Styela clava: one gene and its partner. The main gene of each other region encodes a partner of the protein of the gene in region 2 in a complex. Links are inferred from orthologs where the notes say so. Each region holds a gene or a part of one and is shown on either strand. Other genes may lie near its edges.

What was found.
Region 1: the proteins of protein prenyltransferase alpha subunit repeat-containing protein 1-like (region 2) and geranylgeranyl transferase type-2 subunit beta-like are in contact, whole or in part, in a crystal structure (PDB 6O60), measured with the Homo sapiens proteins. The link is inferred for Styela clava from reciprocal best matches to the Homo sapiens genes PTAR1 and RABGGTB. Residues at the interface, in NP_001093136.1 of Homo sapiens: Val61, Lys62, Leu65, Pro66, His69, Leu73, Arg76, Leu97, Asn98, Asp100, Phe101, Thr102, Thr103, Asn106, Lys109, Glu110, Leu113, Ile141, Arg144, Trp145, Pro192, Ser193, Tyr195, Ser199, Ile202, Trp203, Gln206, Val231, Ser232, His234; in NP_004573.2 of Homo sapiens: Lys6, Asp36, Tyr37, Cys40, Met41, Glu43, Tyr44, Ile89, Gly90, His91, Asp92, Asp136, Trp138, Glu140, Phe177, Asp178, Gly182, Cys183, Arg184, Pro185, Gly186, Ser187, Glu188, Ser189, His190, Gln193, Trp217, Glu221, Arg222, Pro225.

The regions. Positions count from the first base shown.
Region 1 is NC_135258.1:7,572,627-7,589,035, reverse strand, and holds geranylgeranyl transferase type-2 subunit beta-like, read right to left. Parts: upstream 7,805-16,409; 5' UTR 7,725-7,804; coding exon 6,717-7,724; 3' UTR 5,678-6,716; downstream 1-5,677. Other genes in the region: uncharacterized protein LOC144427126, read right to left, coding at 2,297-5,641. UniProt on the Homo sapiens protein: Catalyzes the transfer of a geranylgeranyl moiety from geranylgeranyl diphosphate to both cysteines of Rab proteins with the C-terminal sequence -XXCC, -XCXC and -CCXX, such as RAB1A, RAB3A, RAB5A and RAB7A.
Region 2 is NC_135264.1:16,943,171-16,959,596, reverse strand, and holds the start of protein prenyltransferase alpha subunit repeat-containing protein 1-like, read right to left. Parts: upstream 6,351-16,426; 5' UTR 5,277-6,350; coding exon 5,155-5,276; intron 1,465-5,154; coding exon 1,294-1,464; intron 1-1,293.

The DNA of each region.
Region 1 (16,409 bases), on a different chromosome or scaffold from region 2:
GTAAGCTGCAAAATATTGGCAATTATTCAAACTGGAAATTGTGTTAAACACTTGTTGCGCTAAAACATATTTAAATGAAAAGCAAGCTGCAAAATATTGGCAATTATTCAAACTGGAAATTGTGTTAAACACTTGTTGTACAACATATCTAAATGAAGAGCAAGCTCGAAAATATTGGCAATTATTCAAACTGGAAATTGTGTTAAACACTTGTAGCGCTAAAACATATTTAAATGAAATATAAGCTCGAGAATATTGGCAATTATTCAAACTGGAAATTGTGTTAAACACTTGTAGCGCTAAAACATATTTAAATGAAAAGCAAGCTCGAAAATATTGGCAATTATTCAAACTGGAAATTGTGTTAAACACTTGTTGCGCTAAGACATATTTAAATGAAAAGCAAGCTGCAAAATATTGGCAATTATTCAAACTGGAAATTGTGTTAAACACTTGTTGCGCTAAAACATATTTAAATGAAAAGTAAGCTCGAGAATATTGGCAATTATTCAAACTGGAAATTGTGTTAAACACTTGTTGCGCTAAAACATATTTAAATTAAAAGCAAGCTCGAAAATATTGGCAATTATTCAAACTGGAAATTGTGTTAAACACTTGTTGCGCTAAGACATATTTAAATGAAAAGCAAGCTGCAAAATATTGGCAATTATTCAAACTGGAAATTGTGTTAAACACTTGTAGCGCTAAAACATATTTAAATGAAAAGCAAGCTCGAAAATATTGGCAATTATTCAAACTGGAAATTGTGTTAAACACTTGTTGCGCTAAAACATATTTAAATGAAAAGCTCGAAAATATTGGCAATTATTCAAACTGGAAATTGTGTTAAACACTTGTTGCGCTAAGACATATTTAAATGAAAAGCAAGCTGCAAAATATTGGCAATTATTCAAACTGGAAATTGTGTTTAACACTTGTTGCGCTAAGACATATATAAATGAAAAGTAAGCTCGAAAATATTGGCAATTATACATACAGGTACTCTTCAATAAAAAATGATTTTCCATATTTACAGTGAAGAATATATAGAACAGCATACTGTATTTCTCCAGGACATCAGAGAAAATCTTTCATAAGCATAGCTAAAATGTTCATTAGAAAAAGTGCACTTAACAGAATATATTCCACAGTTATCCACCAAGAAAACAACAAAAATGATGAAATGGAAGCTCCAGGGGCGGCAGCTAAGAGAAACATAGCCATCCCACAGTCATATGTATGATTGTCGCACTGTAGTGTGCCAAGTATACACACTAATTATAACATGTCCTTCCATATTTAAAGAGAAGAATATGGAAAAACAACAGACTTTGAATTCCACTGGAATTCAGAATATCATTAAATAGATTAGTTAGTATATGTCTATCAGGCAAAAGTAAATGTACCGTATATCCTCACTTAAACAGCCCTAGACAGCAAATTTGTGAAAATTCGCATATAAGCCGACCCTACAAATCGTATAATGCCATATCAAAGCCAGAGATGTTCAATTTGAATTTAATATTCAATATCGCAATTCACTACCTTCAGAATATCATTTTTAGTGATTATATTAATCTCGAACAAAGCCCACACAGCCTGGCACCCACCTTCCAAACATTTTTTGATTATTATATTTAATGTTTTAATGAATTTTTTGATTGAAAATATTTTACAATTATTATTGTATAACCTATTTTAACATAGTCGAGATATCCTGGGCGACCACAGCAAAAAATCTAGAAGCAAATTGTGTCCTAATTGTCTTCATACGATAGTGACCAAGCATAATGGGAAATTTCTGCATTTCCAGCCCTTTTTTGAGTTTTAAACTCGGCTAATATGCAAGGATATACGGTAATTTCACAATGGTACAAATTATCTAACAGAATAGGAAATTTCTAAATCAAAATCAAAAAATAAATTACTAATTATCTAACAATATGTAGTATTTCAAATAAAGAATATAATATGTAGGCTATAACATAATCAGTGTATTGAAAATAAAACACAAAATGGTTTGAAGACTTGTTGCACTAAATGCAAAGCAAACAGCAAAACATGGATAGAACCAAACATACCGAAAAAATGAGCCATATTTGTATAAACAAATCACAGACTTTTGGTGCAATTTAATCCAAACTTCTGCAAAATTGAAAAGCTTCAATTGTTTATCAGGGTAACCAGACATAACACACATTAATCAGACATTAAAAAATCCACAAAAATTCTAATTACACAGTTTGTAAACCAATATCTGCACATGTATATCATCAAATAATAATGCGTCTCCAAGTTATCGTATTCCAGCAACATGATACTTTTGTCTTCCTTTGTAAAAATGAGATTGAGTCAAACTCAAATAACCTTTGATGACACAACGATCAAATCCGGATGGATTTTTGATAATCGAGTGATACAACATTACAATAGAACGTACTTGTGTAGTTGATCGATGTTTGGTATTGTTGACTATTTTCCAAAAATAACGGGCAGCAGATTGGAAGTCATTGTCTATGTATTGTTGAACACCTTTGTTATACAAATTACTGGTCATATTGTCACCAATCAAAGAGTATTCTTTTATAGTTTTTGTTACAAAATCACAAGAATGTTGTCCAAGGGAGATAAAGAGTTTGAGTCCAACAAAAAAATTAATCTGTTGAAGATCTTTAGCTGAAAAGCAGCCCTTAATTAATCTTTTCCATACAGTAGCAACTGATGCAAAGAAATAATTTTCTTCATAATGTGATAAAATATTGTTCAAACTTTCTAAACAATTAGAATCCAATTCTGCTTGCATTACTATAGCAGTCAAAGCAGGATCGCAGAACACAGATTCCCACAGTACAATTTTGAGTATTTTGGTCAAAAAACTTTTCATCTCACTAATCACGAATGGGTGACACAACAAACTCTGTAAATGATCAATAGTAAATGATATTGAATAGAGGACTAACATCAGATTTTCTTCTGCAATAAAAATAGCAAGTAAATTTGGGATAACCATAAGAAAATATGAACGAAAGAAACTGTCATTTTTCAAGGAGGTCAGAGCATCAGAGTAAAGACTACAAATATTTGGTACGTCTTGCAATTCCGTAGAAACCAAACATGTACGTATATATGACTTGATGCCCAATTCATAATAGTGCTTGGTAGATTTCTTCAATCTTTCTCTTGTAGGAGGTGACCGGCAGAAACTTATGCCTTTTAAAAGAAGTTCCTTCTCCTTACTAATGTCTTGTTCTTCAATGCCTCTTTCCACATAACACATTCCAACCAGTCCACTTGATAAAATACCTTCACTCACAGCTTCCAAGTTAACAATTTCAATTTGAGATTCTTCAATGATATTTGCTAATTCCAAAGTCTGATATGCATCCTCTAATAAGTTTTGTACCATCTGAAATTCAAATATATACGCCACAATTTCTAAGGTAAGTAATTTCCCGAACATACGACACTTGCATTCAAAAAGATCTTTTACCAAAGAAAGCAACTTGTCGGCACCTTCAACTTTGTTTCCCATCTCTATTTCTGCAAAAGCTATTCCAAGTTTAAAGCCATAGAGTGAGCATATGTCATTGTTTTTTTTCATCCCTTCCATACAATACTCTAACATTTCTGCAGGACTCATGCAAATCGTCATTTGCATTACTTGGGTGAAACGAATTTGCATCAGAAATTGGGTCCCCGCATGACCAATAAATCTTTCAAATTGATGATTATTTAATTCAATTGATTCTTTAGGATTAACTTGAAATATATACACAATGTCCAGCAAGTTCATTGCAAACGAAATCCTAGCTGGATGTTCTGTACCATCTTCAATAATTTCTTTCAAATAAATCTCTGTATGGTTGATCCACTCTGTTGGAGGTAATTTATTGGTTTGTCTAGCTGCCATCAATGTGGCTTCAATCACCCTCAGATCGTATATCCCGATTTCATTATCAGTAGAAGGTTTAGCACTCAATAAATCTTTTTCTAAACTTGCTTCTTCCCGAAGTTTAGGAATGGCATCTTCAAAACGTGCTAATTGCATCTGGGCCAAAGTTTTTCCATCAGATATTGTTTTAGGCCGATTTTCAAATGAAGGTTTATCTATAAGCATGGCCTCTCTGGCCTTTTCATGAAGATTATCGCTAAGAACAAATATTTGTGTGAGGCAATGTGTAGCACAATTTTTACTGACATATTCAAATATTTCCTCCGTATAAATTTTGAACCAACGACATCCCGATTTTGCATATATTTTCAAGCGCAGTTCATGAGCAACTGCAAGCGCATATGTAAGAGGAAAATTACACATCATCTCAGAAATAAGAAAGCTGGATGATGTTGTCAGATAAAAATTATTTAGAACCTCAAGAAGGCGAGCCCAATAACTAATAAGCGCAGTGATTGGTCTATAAAACAAGTTTTTCACATCAATTTTGCGAGCAATATTTGTAACAATCCTTCCTGTAACTATCAAGTTTACGTTTCTGGTTATTTGTCTTTCAATGTTTTTTGAAACATCATACTTTATCTCCTTATTAAGAATTGCTATTTTATGACTTTGAAATTCATCATATAACTCCCTATTTCCCCCAACGAAGCAAGTTCTTATGAGCATTTCTTTCAAATAGTAACCATTTTTGATTTCTTCATCCGATGTTAGATACGAAGCCATTTTACTGACAGGTTGAATCAGTTCAACTTTGTGCTTACGATTTTTTGTTGGTTCTTGTCTACCCAGAGGTGTACTACATGCATGGGGAACCATTCCATCAAAAGATACACCACTAGTAGTAAAACTGTCGTAATACCAATTTTTAGACTTATCCTCAGAATAAAGGTCATTTATACTTTTCACGCCAACACTTCTGATTATAGTCTCACCCAAACCAATCATAATAATCTCAAATATCACAGCAAACCATCTAAAATATTCTTTCACTTCATGATAATTTGGAGAATCATCGATACCCTCTTCAAGAATTATTATGTGTTCAAAATCAGAATATAAAGTTATTTCTTCCCGAGCCAAAGATCCCAAACCAACGAGAGCAAACGAACATGGACAATCTCCTAGAATCTTCATACAATAATAAGCAATGCATTTCATTAAATCAATATAATTTTGTGTGTTTTCCTTCATCATGTGTTGGATAGTTTCAATTTTATTCAACTGTTTTTCAAGAATTTCATCTTCAGAAAGATCTTCATCAAGTGGTTCCAATTCACGTAACTTAGCTTTTTCATCCTTTCTTAGATTCTTGAATGTTTTTGAAATATGAGAGGATAATTCAGAGAGAGTTATATCACACTGTTTACCTCCACAAGCTTGCAACAACACTTTCTCCATTGATAAGAGGAATTTGTGAACTTCATTTCCTCCTTTTATATCGTATAATATTCTTTCATATCGAACTTTAGCACCGTGTAATAAAGCAGAACATTTTATAAAATCAAGTTTTTGTTTCATTCCTGTAGATGACTTTGCTTTTTCAAGATATAACTTGCCCATTTCAAACAAAATATCAGTTGATTCCTTTAGTTTTGATCGCCTTTCATCACCGAAGGGTGTACAAACTGCCTTCAACTGTTCGGCTAGAACTTTTTCGTTTGGAGATATTTCAACCTCTGTTTCCATATTTCATTAATGATATTATTTTATTCGAAATGACTGCTACAAATATAATAGTAGTGTTTAAATGTTTTAAACAGTGATCAAAAGATATTGTCTTAAGCGTTCAATTTAAAATATGATAAATTAAATATAAGTAATGATGCGATGCTTATTCATGATCTGTAATAATTATGTTATGCTTGGGAATAGGAAATGTATTCATATTACCAATTTCTATTGTGAAACATCTTATTACTATGATAAGATCACTCATGATTTACATATCTTAAAATACATATGAATATAATTATATAAACATATAAACGACGAAAACTTGGCATCCTGTAAGAAGTCTGACAAATGTAAATTAAAAAAAAAATCCACTTAGTTATCTTCATGAAATTATTTCAGTCCAATTTTTCAACAATAATAATTTACCTATACAAATAATTTAAGTCGGCATTTTGTTAAAAGTAGTATATTAATAAATGAATGATTAATCTATTGAAATCTCAATGTGTTTCACATTAAACCAAGATAAATTAATCACGCATATTAGGGTGTTAGAAAGCCATGTTGTCCATAGTCTGCTCTGATATACAAGTCGAAAACTGTTTGTACCTATCTGCCATGGCAGTCATATCTGTACTCCCGAAGTACGCGAACCAAGATGACGGACACCAGAACGTAGTATGTGTACCAGGTTATGGTTAGGCCATACTTTTATTCCAATATCAAGAGTAAATTAAATAGCAAACCATACCCACCTCCTGGTAGTAGAACCATTAACAAATTGACATTCCAATTAAGTGAATGTGACAAAACAATATTCTGGAAGGATTTAATATCATTGTTGGGTATAAACCCCTGAACCACAAGTCCTGAGTCACGTCGAATCACAGGTAATCAGAGTCTAAAGAGTTGAGTTAATCACTTAGATAAGTCACACTGGCGTTAGTTGAGTACGAGTTTTTGAGTTCAACTCGAGGCTGCTTAACATTGTTTGCTATCAACTTTAAACATCAAATAGTGCAAAAGCATGCATCAACATGTGGTACACTGATCGTGTTGAATTACAGTGTGGCACAAGTTTTCAATATTAGTTCAAAGTTTGTATCTGTATACCAACTCTATCAATGACATACTGTGGCATACAAAACACAGGATTAACTTTCTTCAATCTAGAGTCACCAAGAAGTGAAAGACCAGTGATGCCGAACAAAGTATGAAAAGGGTCAACTATATCACCAGGTCTATCAGCAATTCCACCAGTTTCATCATCTTGTGACGCAAGAATAAAATTGATTAATTTTTTACTGTCAATCCAATGAACTTTTCCTAATATAGAAAGTGAAGATAAAACCCACCAGGAATAACAAACATCAGGTAGCTTTTCAGGTCTGCCATTGAGGCCTCCAGATGGAAGCTGTCGTTCACATAACCACCAACCGAGTAAATCTGCATCGACTCTGTGGAGTTGACCAAGAATTGACAATGCACCGAGACAGCAATATATCTGTCCAGAATGCGACTCTGATCCAGGCCGACACCCAAAACCTCCATCGAAATTCATACATGAAATAATAAAATCAACAGCTTTTTCCAAATCAACTTTGCTGTCACCTTCTTTCAACTTACTGAGTAATGCTAGTGATGCAATTGCACAAAATGAGAAACGGGTGTCAATTTCACCCCATTTATCACCAGCGAAAGACCCATTTTCATTTTGAAGGTTTTCAATATATTCCACAGTCTTTTCCACATCTATAACATCCAATCGATCATAAATACATGCAATCTGTATCGCACTGAGAGTATATAAAATACTCGGGTCGTGTTGTGGTGCAGGAGAATATCCACCACAATCATGCTTACAAGAATTTAAATAGGACAGAATTTCATCTTTATTCATTTCTTCAATTTGTCCCAACAGATCCATCGCGGTTAAACCCCAATATATCCCACTTAGTCGAAGATACTCTGTCATGCAGTATTCATAATCATTTTTCTTTGATCCATAAGCAGCTAAATAAGTAGAATGCTTTGTCATTAGCAATTCCTTTAAAGCGCCCTGCTTCAGTGTTACATCTTTGACAATGGTTGCCATTGCAAAATGCCGCCTACTTTTAAACTTTTTATATTTGCAAATGGTTAACTCCTGTTTCTATGATCTGATAAAGGACAAATTAAATATAAAATCGGTTGTTATAACTGTATAAAATAATACAAAAGGTACGAGAACTTCCTGACGTCCATATTCAGATATTACTGTCCATACAATTGACACACGAATGCTCAAACATGATAGTATTCGAGCAGCGTTTTCAAACAAAGAGGAATTGAATGTTTTACTTTGTATGTATTCGAGGGGTCTTATTACTTACTGAATACAGCGCGAAACACTGCAAAGAGCGCAAAACAGCCGAAACAGAGGAAAACAGCGCGAAACAGAAGCAAACAGCGCAAAACAGGAGACGCAGTCATTACCACCTCCTGCCACGAAAGAACCACGGTGCCTCTCGCCATGGTTTTATGGCGCTATTTCCGGTATATTTACAAGGTTATGTACCGGATTATAGGTCATCATGCGAAATTTTATCTACCTTTTTGGTGCTCCAGAAGTATGTGCAGCAATATGTCGCACAACCTGAATCCGCTACACACACACACACATACTATTTTCAGGTTGTGCGCCACCTTGGTGCACATACTTCTGGAGGTCCCTTTTTACCTAACCCTAACCCTAAAGCCAACCACATCCATATGGAAAATGTTCTAAATTATGGTACCCAAAATGTGTCACAAGCAGGGGCAGACCTGCAATTACAGCATTACTGGCTACATACGTTGGTTTGTGTTTTTAATTTGCTGCCGTGGTACTCCAACTCGAAACAAGGTGCCCCGAACTCATTGCAAAAAAATTTTCCGCTTCACACTGTTTCCCTCTGTTTTGCACTCTTTCGCGCTGTTTTGCGCTGTTTCCCCACTGTTTTGCGCTTTTCCCTCTGCTTTGCGCTGTTTCGCGCTATTTTGCGCTCTTTGCGGTGTTTCGCGCTGTATTCAGTAAGTAGTAAGACCGGTATTCGAGTATTGAGTGTAGCATTAAGATATTGTACATATCTGGTAAATGTATGTATGTATGTTTATTTGCCTCAAAAATGTAACAGTATCTGCATAATAATTAAACAGTAAAACAGAGACAGGATACATGTTCAAGACCTTACTGACCTAAGACACAGATGTGCGTACATGACATGTAAATATTTCATTAAAGCTTGAATAATTAATGTCTGAATGTGGACAGATTTTTATGTGTAGTAGGAAGAAGGGTGTGCAGGTGTGTGTGGAGGGGGGGGAATAATTCAAAATGATACGGTACGTAGTTTAAGAATTTTGCAAACCACTATATTGCCAATATTGGAGTGATGAATAAGAATAACATTTGCTGAATTTTAGATACTTCCATGACCTTTGTCTTTACAGTTTTATTATCATGTTTTGTCAGGAGATTATAGAATAAGATCTAACAACACCTCACAAACATGCTTGTTAATTCATGAAAAGAGATTATTTAATTTTCAATTAGGCACCCTGAAGCTGAAGTTATGCAGTTACAGAGTGATGAAACGATAGGTGTGATATGTTGAATATAATGCAAAAAAATATTTTTTTTAAATGTTATAAATACTAGTACGCCTTTCAAACCTCTTCGGAATATTCTTACTGCTGCTATATACAAATATACCGGTACCGGTACCGGTACGGTGCCGTACCGATACCGGTACCGTATTCTTACAAATCTGTAGCTGCATAGACAGCTGTAAGTGCTACATGGTACCAACTACCATACCATACCGGTACATACACACCGCTTCCTTGACCATCTGAAAACAAACTTACATGCATAGACTACATACCGAAACTGTATTCTCATAAATCTGTAGCTCATAGACAGCTGTAAATGAATATGAAAATTCAAAACAATTCAAGCCAACACGCCACCCGCTGGGGCTGTTCACTATGGACCTTTCCCCGAGCATCGACTTCCTTGTTTACTTCGTAATATTGGCCAATCAGCAAGATGCAAAAAGTGACGTAACAATGCCCCCTTTTTGCATCCGCTCAGACACTTTTCTCACTCAGACAGATTTTCGAGCGTGGTTGTAAACATTACCTCGTTTTTGCGTTTTTGAACTCTATTCGTTAGTTTTCAGTTGTGTTTCGGAAACTTAAATAAAAATCAGATAATTTAATGATCACTCTGTCTATCTAGGAGTTTTAATTTAATTGCAGTAATAAAAATTAGTGTAGAAATAGCTGTGATAGACTAGCCTGAAAATCTTTACCGGTACTTTTAAAAAACAGATTGTTATGTGCGTTGAATCATAATGATGGTTTGAAACACATACCCCATTTTACAGGCGCCAACTCGCAAAATCACCCCTAAAATAGCACTGAAAATTTTGCAATAGTAAAGTATAGAAAGATTTTTCCGGGGGTCAAAGGTCGGGGAAAGGTCCATTATCAGACATACACATTGCACATGCATATAACCGTAAATATATGATATACCGGGTTATTTTTATTTTATAAAAATCAAATGAAAAACAAATGGGTTACATGTAACAAACAGCTAGATCAAAGGGAATTACTAAAAATTTAACATTCTGCTTACAACGCGAAACAAAAGAAAACGGATCAAAAGCAAATGGAAACATGCGAAACCAAGAAAATCGTGCAAAACCCTAAACTTACATGCAGTGGTGGGATTCAAATTCGAACCGACTGAATCCCACCACTGCTTACATGTATGCATGTTTTTTCGTCTCGTAAAAACAATATAAAAGAGTTGACAATTAACAATATTAAAAACCAACTTTTACTTGGTAACTTTTATTTTTTTAATGGTTCCACAATGTGGATTGTTCAATAAGTAAATAATAAATTGTTAACTTTTAGACCAGTGGCCCTCAACCTGCGTATCACCGCGGAAGATTTCAGGGATGCGATCAGCTTTAAAATATTGCAACAAGCAACTTTTGCGATATTTTATTCATTATTTATTTTATTTACTATTTATTTATTATCAAGCAACTTTTGAGTCGGCTAAAATATGCCGGCAACGCTTTCTCTTCATCTTCCATATTACTATATATGTATTCGCTGGAAGGCGTTTATAGCAGTGTATTTGGGGTAAAGATAGAGTGACCATATTTTTGTGACTTCAAAGCGGGACGCCTCCAAAGACAACGAACCCTTTACTGTGATTTTGTAACTTTACATTTTCCGATTTTACTACATAGGGTTACTTTTTAAATTATCCCGACTGTTTTCATTAGCCATATTGTCATCGAGAGTTCATGCGTATATTCTCTGTTCAAATATCGGGTTCAGTTCGGAAAATAGAAAGAAATCGACGTTAACGATATAAATAATTCGAATTTCGATTTTTAATGTGCATCAAAAGAAAGAAAGAATAGTAAAATAACCTGGCGTTTTCACGCATTGAGAATTTACTTCGCCAATCATGCTTTTCTGTAGATAACACCTTCTTCAAAAAAACGTTGTTCAATGTTACATGTGATACGTTCGCTAAAAATGTTAGCGGGAAACAACGAAACAAACAAAATAACGCATTCACCTTCAGCAAGTAGCGCTGCGCTACATAGCAACAACAATAACGAGAACATGTTAATTGGTAATGTTCGTGTATTATGCTGGATGGCTGAACGCCAAAGCGGGACTTTTGGATGACTTGTCGGAACGGCGGGACAAGACGCTAACAAGCGGGACTGTCCCGCCTGAAGAGGGACGTATGGTAAGCCTACGGCATTTGAATATATAAAGTAGAAAAACGCGGTTCGATGAAGTCATCACATAAGTCTTGGGCTGTTCACAAGAAATGCGTGCTGAATTAACAAAAAACGTAGAAATTGACGTTGATTTTATATGACTGTAGCTTGTGTTCAGAAGTTACCTCAAGCGACATCTTGAGTCCAATCACCCAGATAAAAAAAAACACGATGAAGTTATTTTGAGCGACTTGGGTAACATGTGAAGCGCCAGCGCATGTAACAGGCAGGCCAGTTTTAACCTTCTTGCTGCCGAAGTTGGATCGTGTATCGCTTTCTAACAATACTGTGAAACAACATGGCCAAGAAATGTCTGTTGACACTGAAGAAGTGATTGTTGAAGTGAGAGGAAAAAAGGATAGTTTCGTCATACAATTTGATGAATCGACTGATGTCACCAAATGTTTTCAATTACCAATCAATCAATTTTATTTCGGTCACTCTGAAGGAAACAAAACAACAACAAAGTATCTGGAGGACGGGCATAACTTAATAATAACAAGAGAGCTATGCTCAAATATATGGACACGTAGCGCCACCCAGTGGCAATAAGTTTGATGACGTCATAGCGAAAAAAAAGTAACAGCCTTCTGGAGAAAAATTTTATCTTTAACCACTGAAAATATCAAAGCAATCGGTCCAGTATTCGAAGAGAAAAGCGATTTTTTAAAAATGGAGACGGAGACAAATAACAATAACAACAACATTTTGAAACGATCGTTATGGCCACTAAACGTGTCCAATAATAAAAAGTACAAGCAATCGGGCAATAGCCTACCTTTTGAATCAATTTCAAAATGTGAGACGTGTATGTGTAGCCTATAATAAGGGTGCTTTCCTACAAAAATATGGAATAAAAAACAGTCAAGCGGGACGTTTGGATGACTTGTCGGGACGGCGGGACAAGACGCTAACAAGCGGGACTGTCCCGCCTGAAGAGGGACGTATGGTAAGTCTAAGGCATTTGAATATATAAAGTAGAAAAACGTGGTTCGATGAAGTCATCACATAAGTCTTGGGCTGTTCACAAGAAATGCGTGCTGAATTAACAAAAAACGTAGAAATTGACGTTGATTTTATATGACTGTAGCTTGTGTTCAGAAGTTACCTCAAGCGACATCTTGAGTCCAATCACCCAGATAAGAAAAAACACGATGAAGTTATTTTGAGCGACTTGGGTAACATGTGAAGCGCCAGCGCATGTAACAGACAGGCCGGTTTTAACCTTCTTGCTGCCGAAGTTGGATCGTGTATCGCTTTCTAACGATACTGTGAAACAACATGGCCAAGAAATGTCTGTTGACACTGAAGAAGTGATTGTTGAAGTGAGAGGATTAAAGGATGGTTTCGTCATACAATTTGATGAATCGACTTATGTCACCAAATGTTTTCAATTACCAATCAATCAATTTTATTTCGGTCACTCTGAAGAAAACAAAACAACAACAAAGTACCTGGAGGACGGGCATAACTTAATAATAATAATAAAAAATACAAGCAATCGGGCAATAGCCTACCTTTTGAATCAATTTCAAAATGTGAGACGTGTATGTGTATAATAAGAGTGCTTTCCTACAAAAATATGGAATAAAAAACACTCGTTGACGTAAAATGGTGGTGCTGTAGTTCAATTTCATTACAAAAATAACACAGCGACAAAAAATTGTTACTAAAGAACAAGCTCGTTAAATAGATTGAATGTTCCATAACAGTCCATACACAAATCATGGATTGGGGTATCGGTTTTTTTTGTCGTTTTCGATTAGTTCAATTTAAAATCATTGCATTTGTTTCAATGCTTCCAACATTGATATCTGTTGTGTATTGACTTTTCATGTATTTTAAGTTTCCACTAGCTGGCGTTAAGTGTTTACGATTGCATCATTCTTGTAGAACCTCATGTGACATTAGTGATTCGGTACGCTGTTACAAGTTTGCTTGCTAAGCGTTGTAAATGTTTGTTTTCATTAAACTGATGTTTCTATCAAGTTGGATTCTTGTATAGTTCATTAGTCAGTGTCAGGGACACAACAGATTGGCGATGAGGATGGGATGGTTTTTAAAGGGTCGTTGAAAATACGACATAGTGAAAACAGGCAAATTACGGTAGTAGACTACTGGTGACGTCATATTTCGGAAGAGAAGAAAAGTGTGATAAATGGCTGAATTACATTTACCACCACCGCAATGTTTCTTGCAAAGTCCAGGTGAACCACCAGTACCTTGGAAACGTTGGTACAATAGCTTTGAAACATATATGAAAGCTACTGGACTTGATCAGGAAAATGTATCTGCTGATAAAAAACGTGCAATTCTACTGCATTGTTTAGGCATTGAAGGCCAAAGAATATTCGTTATCAGACACAGATACTTATGAACAAGCAGTTGCTGCTCTAGAGAAGCCGTTTGGTAAAAAGACAGTGTAAAAATGCAAAGACATCTATTTTGGAATAGAAAACAGCATGATGGTGAGTCAATAATAGAATATGTCGCTGCACTCAGAGAAATAGTGTCAGAGTGTAATTTTGCAGATATGTCAGATGATTGATCTGTGGTCAAATAATCGAACACACCATCTCACCAAGAATTGGAGAAAGGTTGCTCATGGAACCTGATACACTGACTTTGGATCAAGCAGTAAAACTGGCTTGTCAAATTGAAACTGCTCATGAAGAATCACATCGTATTCAGAAAGAAACCAATTTCAATGGAAAACCAAAGTTCAAAAAAGAAGAAAATCCTGTTGTGCAAGGAATTCAAAGGCAAAGATATCACAATCAATGGAAAAATCAAAAAGCAAATTCATCATATGCTAAACAACATTGTACTTGTTGTGGATCAAATTCTCATGCTTCATATAGTAGTAATTGTCCTGCTAAAAATCGTATTTGTCATGCATGTGGCAAAAGAATTCATTTCATGAAAATGTGTAGGTCTTTGAAACAAAAGACTACAAGACAAGTGTTGCCATCACAAAAACAAAGTGATGATGTGCAAAATGTATTTTCTGTTGAAAATAACAGTGATTCTGTTAATGGTATTTTTAAACATTGTTCTTTAATGATTGATGGTATAGAAACCAAGCTTTTAATTGATTTGGGTGCCAAAATCTCAATAATGAATGGAACCATGTATCGAAAATTGTTTTCAAAGTATAAGCTTAAGCCCACAACCCAGAAATTGTGTGGATATGGAGGGTCATCTATTGAAAGTATTGGGGTTATTGATTTACCTAATATTCAGTATGGAAATGAGACCATTGATGTATTTTCATTTTTTGTAACTAAAAAGGGAGTTAGTCTTATGGGAGTCGATTTGTTTGATCGTTTGAATTTTAAAGTTACATGTAATGGTGCTACTGTGAATTCTATTGATTTTCGTGCTGAGTATGCTAAAGTATTTACTGGCTTAGGTAAAGTGTCAAAATTCCAACATGATCCCATGGTTGATCATACAGTCAAGCCAATATCTCAAAAACTGAGAAGGTTACCACTTTCAGTTCGTGCTAGTGTGTCTGCAGAATTGAAAAGGCTTGAAGATAATGATGTTATTGAAAAAATTTAAACTTCACCATGGATTTCTAATATTGTCATTGTCCCTAAGAAAAATAATGAGATTCGTCTATGTGTGGATCTCAGACAAGTAAATATGGCAATAATACCTGATAAATATCCATTACCTACAATGACAGAGCTCACATCAAAATTTCATAGCTCTACAGTGTTTTCGAAACTTGACTTGCGTCGAAGTTGTGAACAAGTGCCATTAGCTAAAGATAAAAGGTATCTTACTGCTCTTATAACGCATGATTCTATATATCAGTATAAAAGAATACCGTATGGTTTATGTTCAGCGCCCTCTCGTTTTCAAAAAATTCTGTCCATAATTTTGAAAGATTGTGAGAACACAGTCAATAATATTGATGATGTTATTGTGCATGGTATAAATCAAGCAGACCACGATGAAAAGCTTGATAAAGTTCTCAGAAAACTTGCTGAGTATAATTTAACATTGAATGTGGATAAGTGTCAATTTTCTAAAAATTGTATTAATTTTATTGGTTACAAAATTTCTGGTTCTGGTGTATTACCACTTGAGTCAAATGTTGAATCTATTTTGAATATCCCCATGCCTAAAAATAAGAAAGAGTTACAATCTTTTCTTGCAACTACTAACTTTTATTTGAAATTTGTTCAAAATTATGCAAATGTTGCTGAAACATTGAGGAAACTTTTAAGAAGAGATATTCCTTGGGAATGGACTGACTTACAGTCAAATGATGTCAATAAGCTAAAAGAAAGCATAGCATCACCACCTATACTTGCTCATTTCAAACCAAATGCTCAAACTATTGTAACTACAGATGCTTCTGGTTATGCTGTTGGTGCTGTATTTTCACAAATTGACAGACAAGGTAATGAAAAACCTGTTGCATTTGCATCAAAAACTTTGAGTAACACAGAGAGGAAATACTCAACTTGTGAAAGAGAAGCACTTGCATCAATTTATGCATGTGAACACTGGCATATTTATCTGTATGGAAGAATATTTATACTTCGTACTGAGAAAACGAGTCCTAGAAATGGCACACAGTAGACATCCTGGTATGGTCAGAATGAAGCAAAGGTGCAGAGAGAATGTATGGTGGCCAAGATTAAATGCACAAATCAAAGATTTTGTTCACAATTGTCAACCTTGTGCAATGAGTGGGAAATCAATCAAACCTGCCGAACCACCACTTCAATCAATACCATGGCCTAGTGAGCCTTGGAAAGATATTTCAATTGATGTATTTGGAGAAATGCAAATTGCACCTGTGAAAGATAGATTTGCTGTTGTTATAAATGATCTACATTCAAAATGGCCTGAAGTTGCTTTGACATCTAATGTAACATCTACATATCTAATAAACATATTAGAAGGATTATTTGCAAGATGGG
Region 2 (16,426 bases):
GCAAAAATTTAACAATATAAGAAAAAAAAGTTCCCTCGTGCCTCCCCTCAAATATGGTATGCAAGTGAAGTTTTTGGACAATTTGAATCCAAGTGGGTGACTATTATAACATGATGCACATTTTCGTTATATATATAATTGTATTATTGTAAGTATTTGTAATTATTATTGAAAAAAATTTATAGTGAAATATGATATGTCTCAGTCACAGCTACAAAAATCTGATTTAATTTTGAATTTATCATTGGAGTTTTTGGAAGGACCATTATCTTTCCGGTTTATCAAATCGACTTTTACTAACTAATTTCTACACTATAATTTCCCAAGGGAAGTAGTTTAAAAGGTTGAACCCCCCCTTTTTTTAAATGTAAAGAGCCCATTAGTGGAGAGTCGGCCCCCCTCTTTTTTGTATCATACATAGCAATTTTTCATAGCTTTAAACGGTTCCATTACATTTGAACCCACGTACATTTGAACCCACGACGATTGCACCGGCATACTATTGCACCTATGGAAATTTTTGTTGTTTTACGGATATTTGAACCCATACTAACCCTAACCCATGGGTTTAGCACCCGCATATAGATTGAACCCGCGAATATACACATGGGTTCAAATGTACGTGGGTTCAAATGTACGGTCACCGCTTTAAACACATTTTAAAACCCCCCCGAGACTTTTGAAAACACAACTTTTCCGGTCGACCGGAACCGCTAGCTGTTATGGTCTCAGAACCCCCATCCCCTTTGAAATTTCTGGCCCCCCCCACTGGTTACTAGGTTTTAAAGCAGCGGTCCCCAAGCTTTTTTCAGGATGACCCCAAGGAGAACTTTCAAGCGTCCAGTGTGACCCCAGGTCAATATATATATTTTTCATGAAACTTTAGTTTGGAATTTCTTTCACTGGACTTTTGAGTTTGGTCATGTGGCGGTATTAGTAAAATAAGCTAAAACCAAACAGTGATGTCACAATAAGCACGTACATTTTCTATAGCATAAGCATAGAACGATGCTTATGAGCCTGTTTTACAGTAAGCCATGGTACAAAATGCTAAATTCAACATAGTTTGTCAAATCTTAGATTTGTTGTAAACTTCCTCTACCATACCTCAGCGACCCCATGACCTGTTTGCGAACCTACCTACTTATCACTCCAACCCAATTTGGGGTCGCGACCCCTGGTTTGGGAACCTCTGTTTTAGAGATTTTAACCTGTGGAACTAACATAGATTAGATTCAACCAGTCCATCAGCCAACTTCTTTAATGGCACATTGAACAACAGACTCCACTCACCTAGACAGCTTTTCAATTTCCTGGATATCCAAATTCTCATTCATCAAAGCATTGTAAGCATATTTAAACAGTAGTGGAATACACCATAGCTTCACGCCGATATGGTCACCTTCGATAACAATAGGGCTTGTGTTTTCTTCGGCATTGCTCGGAATGATTTCGATACTTTTGCTGAAACAAAAAAAATATTGAGACTTTATATTTATCCCATGGAGAAGAGATATAATTTTGGTGCTCCTTAAGTACCAATGTAATATGTGTACCAGGTAAGGGTTAGGCCATAATTTTATTCCAATTTTCCTTATTTCAGTTCTATTACAAGTTCGGGGACTAGCAAAGTGTCTCCCTAGTATTTGTATCTGAAATTATGGCCTAACCTGTTACACATACCTAAGGAGTTTTATAAAACTTATTCTCACCCATTTCGCTCACAACAAGGCCAGGGCTGAATTGAATATCCCCATGCATTCAAATTAAGTATAGTAAATTCCTGATATTAGGTATGATATGAAATAGTTTCATTATGAAATATGTCGGGATATTTCAATTGCAAGATTTTCTCCAACTGGTATTTAGTGGCTTGTTATGCACAACCATAATTCTTTCTACAGTTTTAACCAGGGCTGGGGAGATTATAGATTACAATGCCTCCAGATCCACACTATATTCAACCTTAGACTCCATATCATTAATTTTTCTTGGTATTGGCTTGGTTCTAAGAAAATTTAATACTGAGCAAATGTTTGTTTTAGGAAGCAAGAATACAAACTGTAAAACTCGGTGACTCTTGTAAAATATTACCACAGTATAATAAAATATCAAAACATGAGTGTGACATCACAATGAACAGTGACAACCAAAATACAGTGCAGATGAAACAAGCATTCTAGCTTAGAGGACTAGCGTAATGGTGCACCAAAATGCGATTTTATTTCGCAAAGCCTTACAGGTGAGTGGCCTTGACCACTAACATGAAATATCAGCCCAAATTTTGAAATTTATCTCCAAAGTTTTGGATACACAAATTTAACTTAACACTTATAAATTAATGTTATGGGGCTTAAAAGGATAGATTTTATCATTTATATAACGCAGGGTGGTCCGAAATTGGCAGCTCTGCGGGCCACAAAATTACTTTTGCATTGTTCGCGGGCCACAATTGTGTCAAGAACTTCGCTCTTTAACTTCGCTAGTTGCCTGAACAAGCCATAACACTAGTCAATTCAGTGACATTAATGATGTAACAATATGTCAAAAGATTTTTTGTTTAATTTTATGACGAAACAACACAAAATGGGATTTTTTTTAATTCCCCTCCGAATGTGACGCGGGCCACAGATAATGAAGCGGCGGGCCACATGTGAAAAAATAATCCGATGGTTATGAGCTGGAGCCACTAAAAGTCCTGGTAGCCTCGGCTCCATCTATTATTATCCAGCTCCAACAAAATGCCCAGGCTCCAGGCTCCCCAGCCCTTGTTCGAGCATTCACAAATATCCAACCATCGGTGTGGGCTACGTTTTTTTAGGGCATCTCTGGGTTTTTATGGAATTTGAGGAGTATTAATCTGCGATGGCAAAACAGTTGAGTCTCATTGACTGTAAGGCCACCAAGCCCTCAGCAACATAGCAAATTTTGCATATCAGATACCTAAAACAGGAGCGTGACAAACCTTTTTGCTGCCCGGGCGAGTTTGTGATAGTGATGCCACTTATATGTAAGTTCAAAAATAATTCGGGGGATAAACAAATTATAGATGTTGTTATACACGAGTTTAAATAAATTAACGGTCAAGTAAGAGTGGAATGTTTGTATTTTTAAGCAACAAATGCACCAATATCAGATATATAGCTGTTACGTGTACCCAGTGGCCTATCTACGTAAATTAGCGCACATGGCAAATTTTTAAATGCGCCCCCTTAATCGTTGACTGGCAATTTTTAATGACTGTTGTTGAATTGAGATACTTCTTCGTCGTTATTATTTTAGTAAAAATTAGAGTTTCAATCATTCTATTGAAGCATTTTTTGAATAAAACGTTTTGCCTTTTTTTTGCGTCCCTTTTTAAACGGCGCCCATGGCACGAGCCTTACCCTTCATACACCACTGCCTGTACCCCCAAATTTGCGTGCCCCCCCCCCCCCCCCCTTTTTTTAAATAGGAAAAACCAAATTCTGTATCATACATAGAAATTTTTTTAACACACATTTTCTGACCGGACCCACTAGCTGTCAAACTTACCGTAGTTATTAAACTAGAAATTTCGGAACCTCTCCTTTGAAAAATCCTTGCTATGTCCCTAACTTCCAACATCAGTTTGCTCAAACGCCAAAATTCTTGGAAGTGGGGAGAATGGACGTCAAAATACAGGGCCAGATGGCCCTAAGCACTCAAGACTTTGGTGCCCCATATATAAAAAGTTAAAATATTTAAACTTGTGCTCCATGTTATCCCAAATTTAATTAGCAAGTCTCAGTATTCATTACTAATTGAGGGCCAAGTTAGGATTAATTCACATAATATTTTTCAGAAATAGTTCCAATGGCTGTGAACATTTATAATAGAGTTTATAATTGTGATACTCCAAAAAGAATATAAACAGAAATTCATTTCAACCGATCAATATTAAGGTCTTAGACGTCTGACCAACTCTAATCATTTCATTTAACAACAAGGCACAATTATAAATGTCTTTGACGATTTCTGCGGTTCCCCTACCAAGGATGTGCTTATTTTGCTTAATGGTTAATCCAGCGCTGCTGACATACTAAAAGCAGCTATACACAGATGTCAGTGGAGATTCGGGTGCCACAAAACTTGAAACAAATGCCAGTCAAACACTAAAGGAGAAAGAAATACCACTACATGGGAATATAGATACTGATATTTGGGAAGAAACATACAAATTTCCATTCAAAACCGAGAATCTGTTTTAATATATAGGGTGTCCATGAAGTCTCAAAATTTTTTAAAAATGCAAAGGGAATTTATCGATACCAATCATTGTTTTGGCCCTCACAGATGTATTAAATGAATTAGAAATACTTGAACAATTACTGATTAAAATACAACAAACCTGGTTAAGATATATTGAAAACTGACTTCATAACAAAATTGAAAAGGGACTATATGGACACCCTGTATAATGCATGTGATGAACTGTTAACCTTTCACGGAAATGCTAAGATTAACTCGCCAAACTTTTAAATTGGCCTCAAACATTGAATTTGCATAATAATGTCTTTGCGTTTGTCAATAGACATTATTATGTTGCTCATAAGCATCAGAATACGAACTCAAAATATCAGGGTGCTTCCCAGGCTGAGAAACGCCCTGACACACAGCTGCTATTTCGGAAATCAGGATTTTTCGACTATCATGTTCAGAACGCATTTAATTTATTACAATATGGGTGACAAACAATGCATCATTATGCTGTTTCAGTTCAAAGAGGGCTCTAGATCAGGGCTCCCTAAACCCGGGGTCACGACCCCACAGAGGGCGCGCATAGAATTTTTGGGGTCGTAAAGAGTACACTAATTTCACACAAAGGACTATATCTGTCTACTATTAATCAAAACTCGGGTGAGTGGCTCGAACCGAAACATATTTGAACCGTGGCATTAACTAGTGAACCAACAGAAGCATGGGGATAAACACTAGTCAACCCTTTTTACACCATTGACGCACGCCATCTCACTACGTCTTCAGACGAATTGATAAAGATGAATGGGCCCCATAAAAAAACACGAGTGTGAGCATTCATATATTAGTGTGTGTGTGTGGGAGGGGGGGATAATTGGAATAGGTCCTAAATATCTGTATATTATTATTGGAAACCACAAATCAAAATATACTTACATATCATTTATGCTGTCACACGCTTTCAGAAAGTCATGGAAAATCTTCCTTCCGAGGTGAATGGACTCTTCACTTGGCACAAACTTATGGAGTTCCAGATAAGACCAGGTCTGGTTCTGCATGCCTATGAGCCCCTCCCAAGCAAATAACAAGCTCACAACAACCTTGTCTGTGTAAATCAATCTTGTTCTGACCTGCCTTATGAAAATTTAATAGAAACAATTCTAGCTTAAAAATGGCATGGACTCCATCGAAAAGTTTCAAAATGATTAGAAATTGCAAACTGAATAGCTGAATAGGTTGGACTAGGGTTTGAAATTAAGTTAGTTGATCAATAGCCCTTCCCACCCAAATTATGGCTATTTTCAGCACATTCCATTCTTTTTTACCATGTTTAATTGAAGCATTATTTCTGGCAAATAATTCTCAAAATACAAAAGTATTTGAAGATAAGACTAGTGATCATGTTCGAGCACTCAAGAAAATTTTTTTTACGCACACCCTGAGGGAAAGAAAAACTGGGGCTTAATTATATTACAGACCTCTTTGTCTGGTTACCAGGCTTGGCAATATTACAGAACTCACAACTTTTCGTGGGCTCAACAGAGTAGATATGGCAGATACTATAAAGACTATATGGAGTCCATCATCACATTTTTTGGGTACTCCCGAAGTATACCTACGTACCAAGATGGCCGACATCAGAACGTAGTATGTGTATCAGGTTTGGGTTAGGCCATAATTTTATTCCAATTTTAGTTATATTACAAGTTCAGGGACTAGCCAAGTTACTCCCGTAGTATATGTATCTAAAATTATGCCTAACCTGGTACACATACTACATTCCAGCGTCCGCAATCTTGGTACGCATACTCCAGGGGGCGTCAATTTTTCTGCTATATCACGGTTTGAATATATATATATAGCAGTGTTTTTACCAAAACAGCAAGATCTTTTTAACCAGAAATTTGGCCCTATCCTTATTATTTTACGACTGTGTTGTTGGGAACCGAAGAAGTATCGCATGTTAACGAACAACTCATTTTTTAGGTTATTTTTTAAGCTCTTACGCCTCTGGAATGACAATTTTTAAATTTAGATAATAGTAAATTATTCCATCAAAAACTTATTTTTAAAAAGTTCAAATTTTTTTGAACAACTTCACTCTAATTGAAGCCGCTTGTTAAATTCAAAATTAAGTATTATTTGGATATTTGAAGCGAGATCTACTGATAAACATATCATGGCTAATATTGATTGTGTGCATTCTTTATCTCCATAAAACCTTCAACCTTCTTCATTAAAACTTCAATTCTAACAACTTTTTGATTCTGACAGTCAAATTACACCACAATTTGAGTATATTGTAAGCACGGCAATAAAAAATGTACAGCTGGTCGAACGGCATGAAATTGACAATATTAATATTTCAAACGAATTAAAATATTCACAAACGGCAATTTTGGAGTTGGGTGACAGACAGCATAGATGAAAGAAATGAGACCACAAATAGTAGTTGAATGAGACTGCAAACATTATTATGTCTTCGATACCTTTTTAGCAAAAAATAGTTTATCATACTAACGTCCTATTAAGTAATTGTGGTGAGGAATGCAAAAAACTTGGCAATTTACTAAAAATAACTGAATTTGATCACAAAATCTAACATTAACATCTTAATCAGAGTTTTTATAACAATTACATGAATTATTCCAGGACTCGCATATTTCGTATAAAATATGTGTGAAAAACTGAAAAAGATTTTAACAACTCGAAATGACTAAGTTACGTCTATCCAAATAACTCCGCGCTTGTGTTTGATTTATCATTTTCAAGCAAGATATCCAAGTTCTTAGCTATTGATATCCCTAGTTTATGCAAAGTCATTGAAGGAAAGACAATATCATATGTTTCACAAACAACAAGAAAAACAACGACTTTAGACCAAAATTGAATATTGTACATCACTTAAAAAACCGGAAAACATGCACATCTTTGAAAAATCATTCCATTTAAATGGTTGTCAAGCACGGCAATGCAATGTCATAATTTTTTTTGGTATTTTAAGGGGGGGTAATGGTGGGTATTTTGGTAAACAGTTTTATATTTTCAACTTGTTTGACCGTCTTGAGAGCAAGAACTTTAAAAAAAAATTGGTTACAGCCTCGACTAAAAACGACAAAATCTGAAAGACGCTGAATGTATGAACTGAGGCAAAATAGCTGAAAAACCTTTAACAAGACACTGAAAGGCCTGATTGACAGCCTGCCTGTGCTTTGGCAGCTTTTTAGTTCTAAGTATGAAAATCCACTGATTATAAAAAAACAAAAGCCGTGATTGATAATAATTACAAAACTCTACATGAAAGTCAAATCCTAAAGCTCTGTCAAAGTCATAAAATTTGATGATTTTGTTGCTAATGACAACCTGGCAATAAGCATGACAAAGTCGGTAAGGCTCTGCCTACTCGCCGGCAACTGATTAAAACATCAAATAAGACAACTTTAACCTGAGAGCTAATTTCTCTATCTGTATCCGTCACCCCCGTACTGGTTGTATCCACCGCCTCCACCTCCACCGTATCCACCGCCTCCACGATAACCACCACCGCTGCCTCCATATCCCCCTCCTCCTTGATATCCTCCCCCACCACCATAGCTTCCACCGCCGCCTCCATATCCTCCGCCACCGCCATATGATCTGTTGCCATAACCTCTGTCATAACCGCCGCCACCACCACCACGCCCATAACCATCATCATCTCGACCTCTGTAACCACCACGTTCTCTATTTCCCCGATTATTTTTTCCATTCTTTTCCGCCCAATCCGTATCTGGCACAACAGTTTCCGCTTTCCAGCCTTTCTCTTCTTTAAAATAAGTCACATCGACAGGTTGCTCCTCGAACAGGGTCCTGTGCCCTTCCATCTGTATTTTCGATTGATGAACGAAAATTTCAGTTTCATTTTCAGGATCGCCTCCATCTAATTTAATAAAGCCATATCCTTTTTGATCGTTAAAAAACTTCACCTTACCCGTTCCCGTCTTTATATCACTCATGATTAACTTAACAAGGAATTTGACACAACTGAAAGGCAAAGTCGACCACGGCGCAAAGGAAATTGAATGCGAGATCTCAACGTGCACCTTAAAATGGCGGCAGTGACCTACTAAAACGCGGAAATAAAAGAGAGAGAGAGAGTGAGAGAGAGAGATTTTAATTTACAATGTCAACACTATAAAACATTTGAAGCAAAATAAGATAAGACAGAAACAAAAATTGATAATTCAATAATAATTGGTTATCATTATTTGTGAGGGTCAGCATACAAAACCGGTTAAGTCACCGAGGTTTCTGACCAATGTTGTATATAAGAAATTAGTCAGATAAAGCATTGGCGATGAAACATGGATAAAAATAGATAGCAAATATATATGTGCGAGTCGGCAATTTAATATTCCAAATCTAATAATGCAAGTCGCGGTGGTAAATAGGTCACATAAATTTTTTTTACTGCGGACAGGTCCAGAGACTTTGAACAAACGTCAAGATTAGTTTTCACAATTATTTATTGTAGTTTCTGTGATTAAATATTCACTGAACATGTACAGGTCTCAAATACATGAAGAAATAAAAAAAATAACGAGCCAATCAGATTATCACAGATTCAACAACAATTAGAAATATCATTAACAATGGCTTTTGAAGTCAAACAATAATAATCATCACATTGATGACAGACAAGAAAGAGAAAAGACCATTAACTTCCAATTATACACATGCAAAAGTTGAAATAGAAGTATTTATATGAAACAGTTAAATTTATAGTATTATAAAACGGTTTTCAACAGACTTACTGTAATTACATATTATACTCAAGATATAAATCAAGAGAATTGATTAATTAAGATATCAGGCCAAATTAGAATATATCAGTAGGAAATACTTTTTCAATTTCTTACTGAAAACATAGACGGAACTTTTTTAGTTTCAGGTGGCCCCAAACCTGTACACACATATACTTCAAAGATATTTTGTCCATCTTAGTGGACACTTGTTGAGTGAAAAAAATCTTGTTTATTTGGGACCTGGTGCAGTATTCATGTACTTTCTTATTGGGGTGAAATAATATTTAATAAAAATAGGGGGAAAAAGATCATTTTTATATCGATGCATAAACTATGCAATTTCTAGCGTATGCATATCAGACAGCTATGGGGGTTTATACTGGTGGTATAGCTGTAAATTAGTTACAGAGAGAGAGATATTCCATTTTTTGTCAACTAAAATGAAACAATAATCATCGTAACAAGAGAGCTATGCTCAAATATATGGACATGTAGCGCCACCCAATGGCAATAATTTTGATGACGTCATAGCGAAAAAAAGTAATAGCCTTCTGGAGAAAAATTTTATCTTTAACCACTGAAAATTTCAAAGCAATTGGTCCAGTATTCGAAGAGAAAAGCGATTTTTTAAAAATGATGGAGACAAATAATAACAATAACAACATAATATTGGAACGATCGTTATGTCGACTAAACGTGTCCAACAATAACAACATAATATTGAAACTATCGTGATGTCCACTACGTGTCCAATAATAACAAGAGAGCTACGCCCAAATATATGGACACGTCTGTTCGCAGTACAGTACGGTGTACCGTACCGTCAGATCACAGTCTACAAATATATTCACACCAAGCGAAGCAGTACAGTAGGACACAAAACGGCGTCCGATGTCCGCAGAACGTTTAATGACGCCATAGCAAACAAAAACAAATCTCACAGAGCTAACAGAAATATTTAAAATGAGTAAAAGTAATAGCCATCTGGGGAAAATTTTCATCTTCAACCACTGAAAATTTCAATGCAATTGGTCCAGTATTCGAAGAGAAAAACGTTTTTTTTTTTTTAATATTTCCGCTAGGTGTGTTATTCTGTGTCAAATAACAACAAGAACAAGAACAACAACAACATAATATTGAAACGATCGTTATGTCCACTACGTGTCCAATAAAGATAATAACAAGTAATAAATTATTTTGGTATAGACAGGAGGGAGTCATACGACCAGACGGCCAACAAAGTCAATTCCCCCTTCTCGCTATTATGTTTAAGATTCACAATTTCAGATATTGGTTAATTTATTTTTGTTTTTGGTTAATAGTGTTACGTGTTCAAACTTAAATCATTCTAATCTTCAAATTAGAAATAAGCCCTTAATCATAAAAACACATACCAGTTAGAAGCCCTGTAGGCTATAATGAAGATATCGCGTCATACACGGAGGATACCAAAACCAGCTTAAAAGCGGCCATTCGTTAGGAGAAAAAGTGGGCTAGAACAATGGACGATTAGAATTATCGACTCGCTGTGCGTGCATTGAATCTTGGATTATCAGCCATGACTGGGAACTGTCATTTGTATTTGTAAATATATACAATTGCAATACATGTATTCGAAACCATGAGCATGTGTTCATCAGATAAGATCAGAACAACAGAATGGGCCAGCAACAACAGCAAACACCGATTATGGTTGCTAAAATTGTATCCACAAAACGGAAAAATAAATTTGGGGAGGGGAAGGCTATAGTAAATCGTTTTTTTTTTTGTGTGTATGTGAAGTGAGCTTTTAAAATTTGAAGAGATTTCAAATGGGTTCAAAATTTTAGACAGAGATTCTGCAGTTAATTACTGAGTACACGACTTATTAGCATTAACCTACGCATAAATATATACTTATATCCCTTCCTAGTAATCAGTAGTTTATTTTTTCACCGTATTTCAAATACACGCTGTAATTACAAAATGAGGTAAAAAAAAATGATGAACATGGTGACAGGAAACGCGATAAACCCAAACCAGTATTGTTCATCAAGCAGCGACCACTATGAAAGTATGACAAAAGTTCACACAAGAATAAGAAGTCGAAAGGACGGACCCGTTTCTGTGGTCTTGCTAACGATTTGTCAGTTTTTAGCTGTTTTCAAAATTTTATGTATATAAGTATAAGTTTATGAAGAGGTGGGCTAGAGTCTACTAGAAACTAGACCACTTCATTTCCACAAATTTGAGCCAAATTATATTCCAGATTGTAATAAATACTTGAAGTCACCGGTAACAGTATAAGTTAGTATAATTGAATTAAAGTAGGAAAATAGGGTATAGGAATATATTAGTTACTAAGGGTGCGGTGTATGCTGCACATTCGTGTTTTAGGTCAGTATGGTCTTGTGCATACATCCCGTCTTCAGTATTTATAATTACTAATTCATTTATATTGTTTTTACGGGACGAATAATACATAAGTTAGTTTTATTTTTCATTCTTAGATATTGACTTCAGCGAGGATAAAGGAATTTAAGATTGGTATTTCACAGGATCATTTTGAAATTAATATGTAAGATCATCGGAGCCATTGTTCAATTTTTTTCCTATGTGTTTTCTTCATTTAATCATTGGGAAGCAACTGGAGACAGTTCATATTTGTAATGAATGATCCATCAGTCTGCAAACTTTGTTGATGTAGACACCATATATGTTGAAGAAGCTAGCTGCTAAATTGATCATCACGAAACGGCTTTGAAAAACGGAAAATAAATCTACGAGTACAATATTCAATGAATGCATATTAGGAAACGACTACTAAAATTATTGATTTGAGTAAATCAGGAGCCTGAATGAGGAGAACTCGACATACCAACAACTAAATGCAGAACAAGTAAAGAGAAATTGACTGCATATTCATAAACTGATGATAATATTTCAAATTTGATTATGTCTTCAACTTTGAGTATATTTAGCATTTCATAGTAATGATTTACACTTCACATTTAGGCTACTTTTCCCCAAAACAATTTTTGAATATTATTACAAATACTCTGCTATTTCGAGACAAGTGTTTTATTCCCATGGAGTCATCGATATATATATATATATATATGGATTGAAATGTCGAACTCAATGGACCTTTCCCCGACCTTTGACTCGGGGAAATTCTTTCTATACTCTACCATTGCAAAATTTTCGGTGATCATTTTAATAGTGGTTTCGCGAGTTGGAGCCTGTAAAATGGGGCATTTGTTTCAAACCATCATTCTGATTCATAGAATTCAACAATCTGTTTTTTAAAACTACTGCTAAAGAATTTTAGCCTAGTCTATCACAGCTATTTCTACACTAATTATTTATTACTGCAATTAAATTAAAACTCCTAGGAAGACGAAGTGATCGTTGAATTATTTGATTTATATTTCATAAACATAACTGAAAACTAACGAATAGAATTCAAAACGCAAAAACGAGGTTAGGTTTACGACCACGCCTGAAAATCTGTCTGAGTGGGAAAAGTGTCTGAGCGGATGCGAAAAGGGGCATTGATACGTCACTTTTTGCATCTTGCTGATTAGCTAATGTTACGAAGTAAACAATGGAAGTAAACATCCATTGGCATTTTGTCTTCCGAGTAAATTTAGTTTAGTCGCAGTGAAAAAAATTGAGCCTTTAAAGCAGTGATGGACCAAAGTAAACTGTCAGTACTTTTAAATTGCAAATAGTTGAATATTTCGAATCGAAATGGTTAGTTATCGGCCAACCTTATATATGAGTACAAGTTAATTATGTGGCATCAGGGTGTCATTAACATGTTTTTTAGCTATCAAAATTATTTTATAGTTGTCTGCACCAAAACGAAATCAATTTTAATACTCAAAAGTTTGGATTTCACCATGACCCATGTTTTATATGAGTCGTTGTATTTGCTTACGCGCCTTTACGAGGGTAGAATGCAGGGTTTCCCAAGCTATTTTGGGCCGGGGATCCCTATTTGTGAATCTCACTTTTGACCGACTCCCATCCTATGTCGTATCAATTTCTATGTCTAACCAACGAGGAAGGATGTTTCATTTACAAAACAACAACGCAAACTACGTTAATATACTGTATGAGGTTGCTTTTCACTGCACGAGTTATCGATTCTCGGAGCAATGGACCTTTCCCCGAGCATCGACTTCCTTGTTTACTTCGTGACGTTGGCCAATCAGCAAATTGCAAAAAGTGACGTAACAATGCTCCCTTTTCGCATCCGCTCAAACACTTTTTTCACTCAGACAGATTTTCAAGCGTGGTCGTAAACATTACCTCGTTTTCGCATTTTTGAACTCCATTCGTTAGTTTTCGCAATTTTTCGGGGGTCAAAGGTCGGGGAAAGGTCAATCAAATTCGTAGATCCGACTCTACGGCAAGTTGGATCTGTATTTTTTCATCATATTGGCAAGAACTGAAATTGCTGCCACACATATGTAGGTCGTGTAGGTTCAATTTCCTTTTCTGACAGAAATGGATATTCGTCTACAACACTTAACGAAGAAGACGCATTGACATTTTGATTGAAACCAATCATTAAAAATCGATCAGACTCTTTTCTTATCTTTGCTGACCCCGTGTGAAGTCATCACTGACCCCAGTTTGTGTACCTTTTGGGCCAGGGGCCAAAACTTTTGCCCACTTAGACTGGCGGGCCATGTGTGACGTAAAAAGTTACATCTTATGAACAATATTTACAGTGTTACAAAAGCAAAAGTGGAAAACAGTAAACCTCGTGTCAAAACTAAATTTAATCGCAATCTCAACAAATTCCTTGCGTTAATCTCCAGCTAAAACAGCAAAAGTTGGTTTTAATCTGGTTGTGGCAGCATCAAGCGGGCCATATTAAATTACCCCGCGGGCCAGATTTGGCCCGCGTGCCGTAGTTTGCCCATGTCAGGTATAGATGATAAAACACGTTGGTATTTGTAAGTTTACGAAAATACAACTGATTGATGTGAATAAAACTATTTCGAGCGAGCAACGAACCATTTTTCTACATTCATTCATTTTATTTCAGTTCTCTCACATAAACAACACTAAATGTAAACAGACAAACAAAATGCAGAGATACCTGGGAGGCGAGCATAATCAATCAATCATCATTTTATTCGTCAGCACAAAATAAACGTATCATAGGGGAAAAAAAAAACATTTCTAACACAATATGAACTTAACTTGTGTGACAGGAGTCGCGAGGGACTTCATAAGGTCTTCAGGCAGCGACACCTTAAAAGCTCGCTGATTCAGGTTATTGAGCACAAAAAATTAATGAAACACCAAAACACTTCAAAAAAAAACTTGAAAGTACGTGCCAACCCACCAAAATAAATGAAACAAGCACAAAAAAAGTGACCGGGATTCAGAATCGGGCAATACTTTCAACGCAATTTAGAAAAATTTAGGTAGATTATTAAATGTAATAACCTCTCAACAACTTCTCCCGTCTCTTTAACGATCCGCAGAGCAGAGTGAAATAAGCCCCAATAGTTCCCTTTTATTCTCGCAGCGCTACGAGTATACTTGCCATGTTACTAATACCCGTTAATCTAACATACAAAATTAAAATGGTGAACACAGGGGAGCTGACTCTGATGACCGTATCGCCCCCTCAGTCCAATCCGAAAAGTTCTGCGTGTGTTTTTATGGCGCTCCGTAAGTATTCGTACCAAGATGACGCACAACCTGAAAACTAACCGGGTACACATATTGTGTTCAGGTTGTGCGCCATCTTTATACACATACTTTGTGAGCACCTTTTTAAATATTGGACACGTAAGTGGACATGACAATCGTTTTGCATTTTATGGCACTCTTCTTCTTATTATTTGAATTATTCTTGGTATCGTTATGTAAAAACCTTTTTTCTCATTGATTACTGGACCATTTGCTTTGAAATTTTCAGTGGTTGAAGATGGAATTTTTCCCTACAAGGCTATTGCTTCCATTTATTTCGGTGAGCTGCATGGGATTCGTCTTTTTGAGTGCTATGACCTCATCCGGGTGACGGAAGTCCCGGAGGGGCACTTGGTTTTAAACGCCTTCATATACCAAAATGAATGGGGCAATGCTCCAAATTAAAGAATCATGTTTGGTGCGGACTCGATTCTGACAAATCCATGCGTACAAAAATAATTGTGCTAAGCGTTAGGAATACGCTCGCCAACGCATCTCTGATTACTCTTCGTGGGATCGCAGGTTCGAATCCCATGCAGGGATGATCATGTGAGAGGGGATTGCTGGACTCCTCGCCGCCGTAGGGTGGTTCACGTAACCACTGGTCAGTTACGGCTTCCTCTACCATCAAGTCCATGCTTCCGAAAACAAATAACTGGCTAACTAATCCCATACCCGACTTGGACTGGTAACCGGACGAGAGGCCATGGTTCGCCATACGATTAAGCTGTCTTATCGTCTTTTCTCTCCCTCGGGATAAATATGTGAATCCTATCCTAACTCCATACCTGACATAGACTGGTAACTGGACGACAGGTCGTGGTTCGCTATACGATTAAGTCGTCTTATCGGCTTCAAACTCCCCTGGGATTCTATCCTGGATACGCAAAACCAAATATTGTACTATTTCAAATACAAAGATCCGGATGTATTTTAGAGATGAAGGTTTTATTCAAAAGGAATAACAAAAACACAAGAGTATATGAACACGGTTTTATTGATTCACCTAGCAAGGAAAGTTGGAGTCCCACTTTGGGGCCTGTCAGGCGCCAATAGCTCAGGATTACAGATTATGGAATAAAATATCATTAAAACACAATCCAAGGGTGCAATAAATTGGGAACGAAGTGCCAAACGGGATTCAAGTGCTCCATACCTAGCAGTGGCTACTAGTGAACGGTGGAAAAATAAGTCGTATTGATCATTTAAAAAACAACAGTAGCACCTGATATATCATTTGGAGCGAAAGGCGTGATATAAAAAAACCACCACAAAGTACAAATACTCTTTCACCCTGTACTATAAATGGTGGAGGATCTTTTGTACAGCGCCCTAGCCAACGCTCAAAATAAGAAAATCAGTAATTATCCAGTTAGAGTTAGTTATGCAGACTGCACTGAAAATTCAAATTTTGAATCAAAAAAGCGTTCAATAGAGAACTTCTATCCAGAATCAAATCCAGCAGTAAAAACCTCACATATTAGAGTGAAACGATTATAACAATACTGTAAAAAACGCTCATCGAATTTAGAGGCATTTTTAGACAAAATCAGAAAAGTTTCACAAGGGGGTTAGAAATAAAACTCAGGCATCAACATTTGAACTTTTCTTGGTCGTTTCAGACCAAGCATCAAAATTCGTACAATTTTGACATAAAAAACAAGGATCGTGATAAAATTGTCGTTCATAAATTTTTTGTGTGAGTTTAAATAACTCAGTTTTCGTTA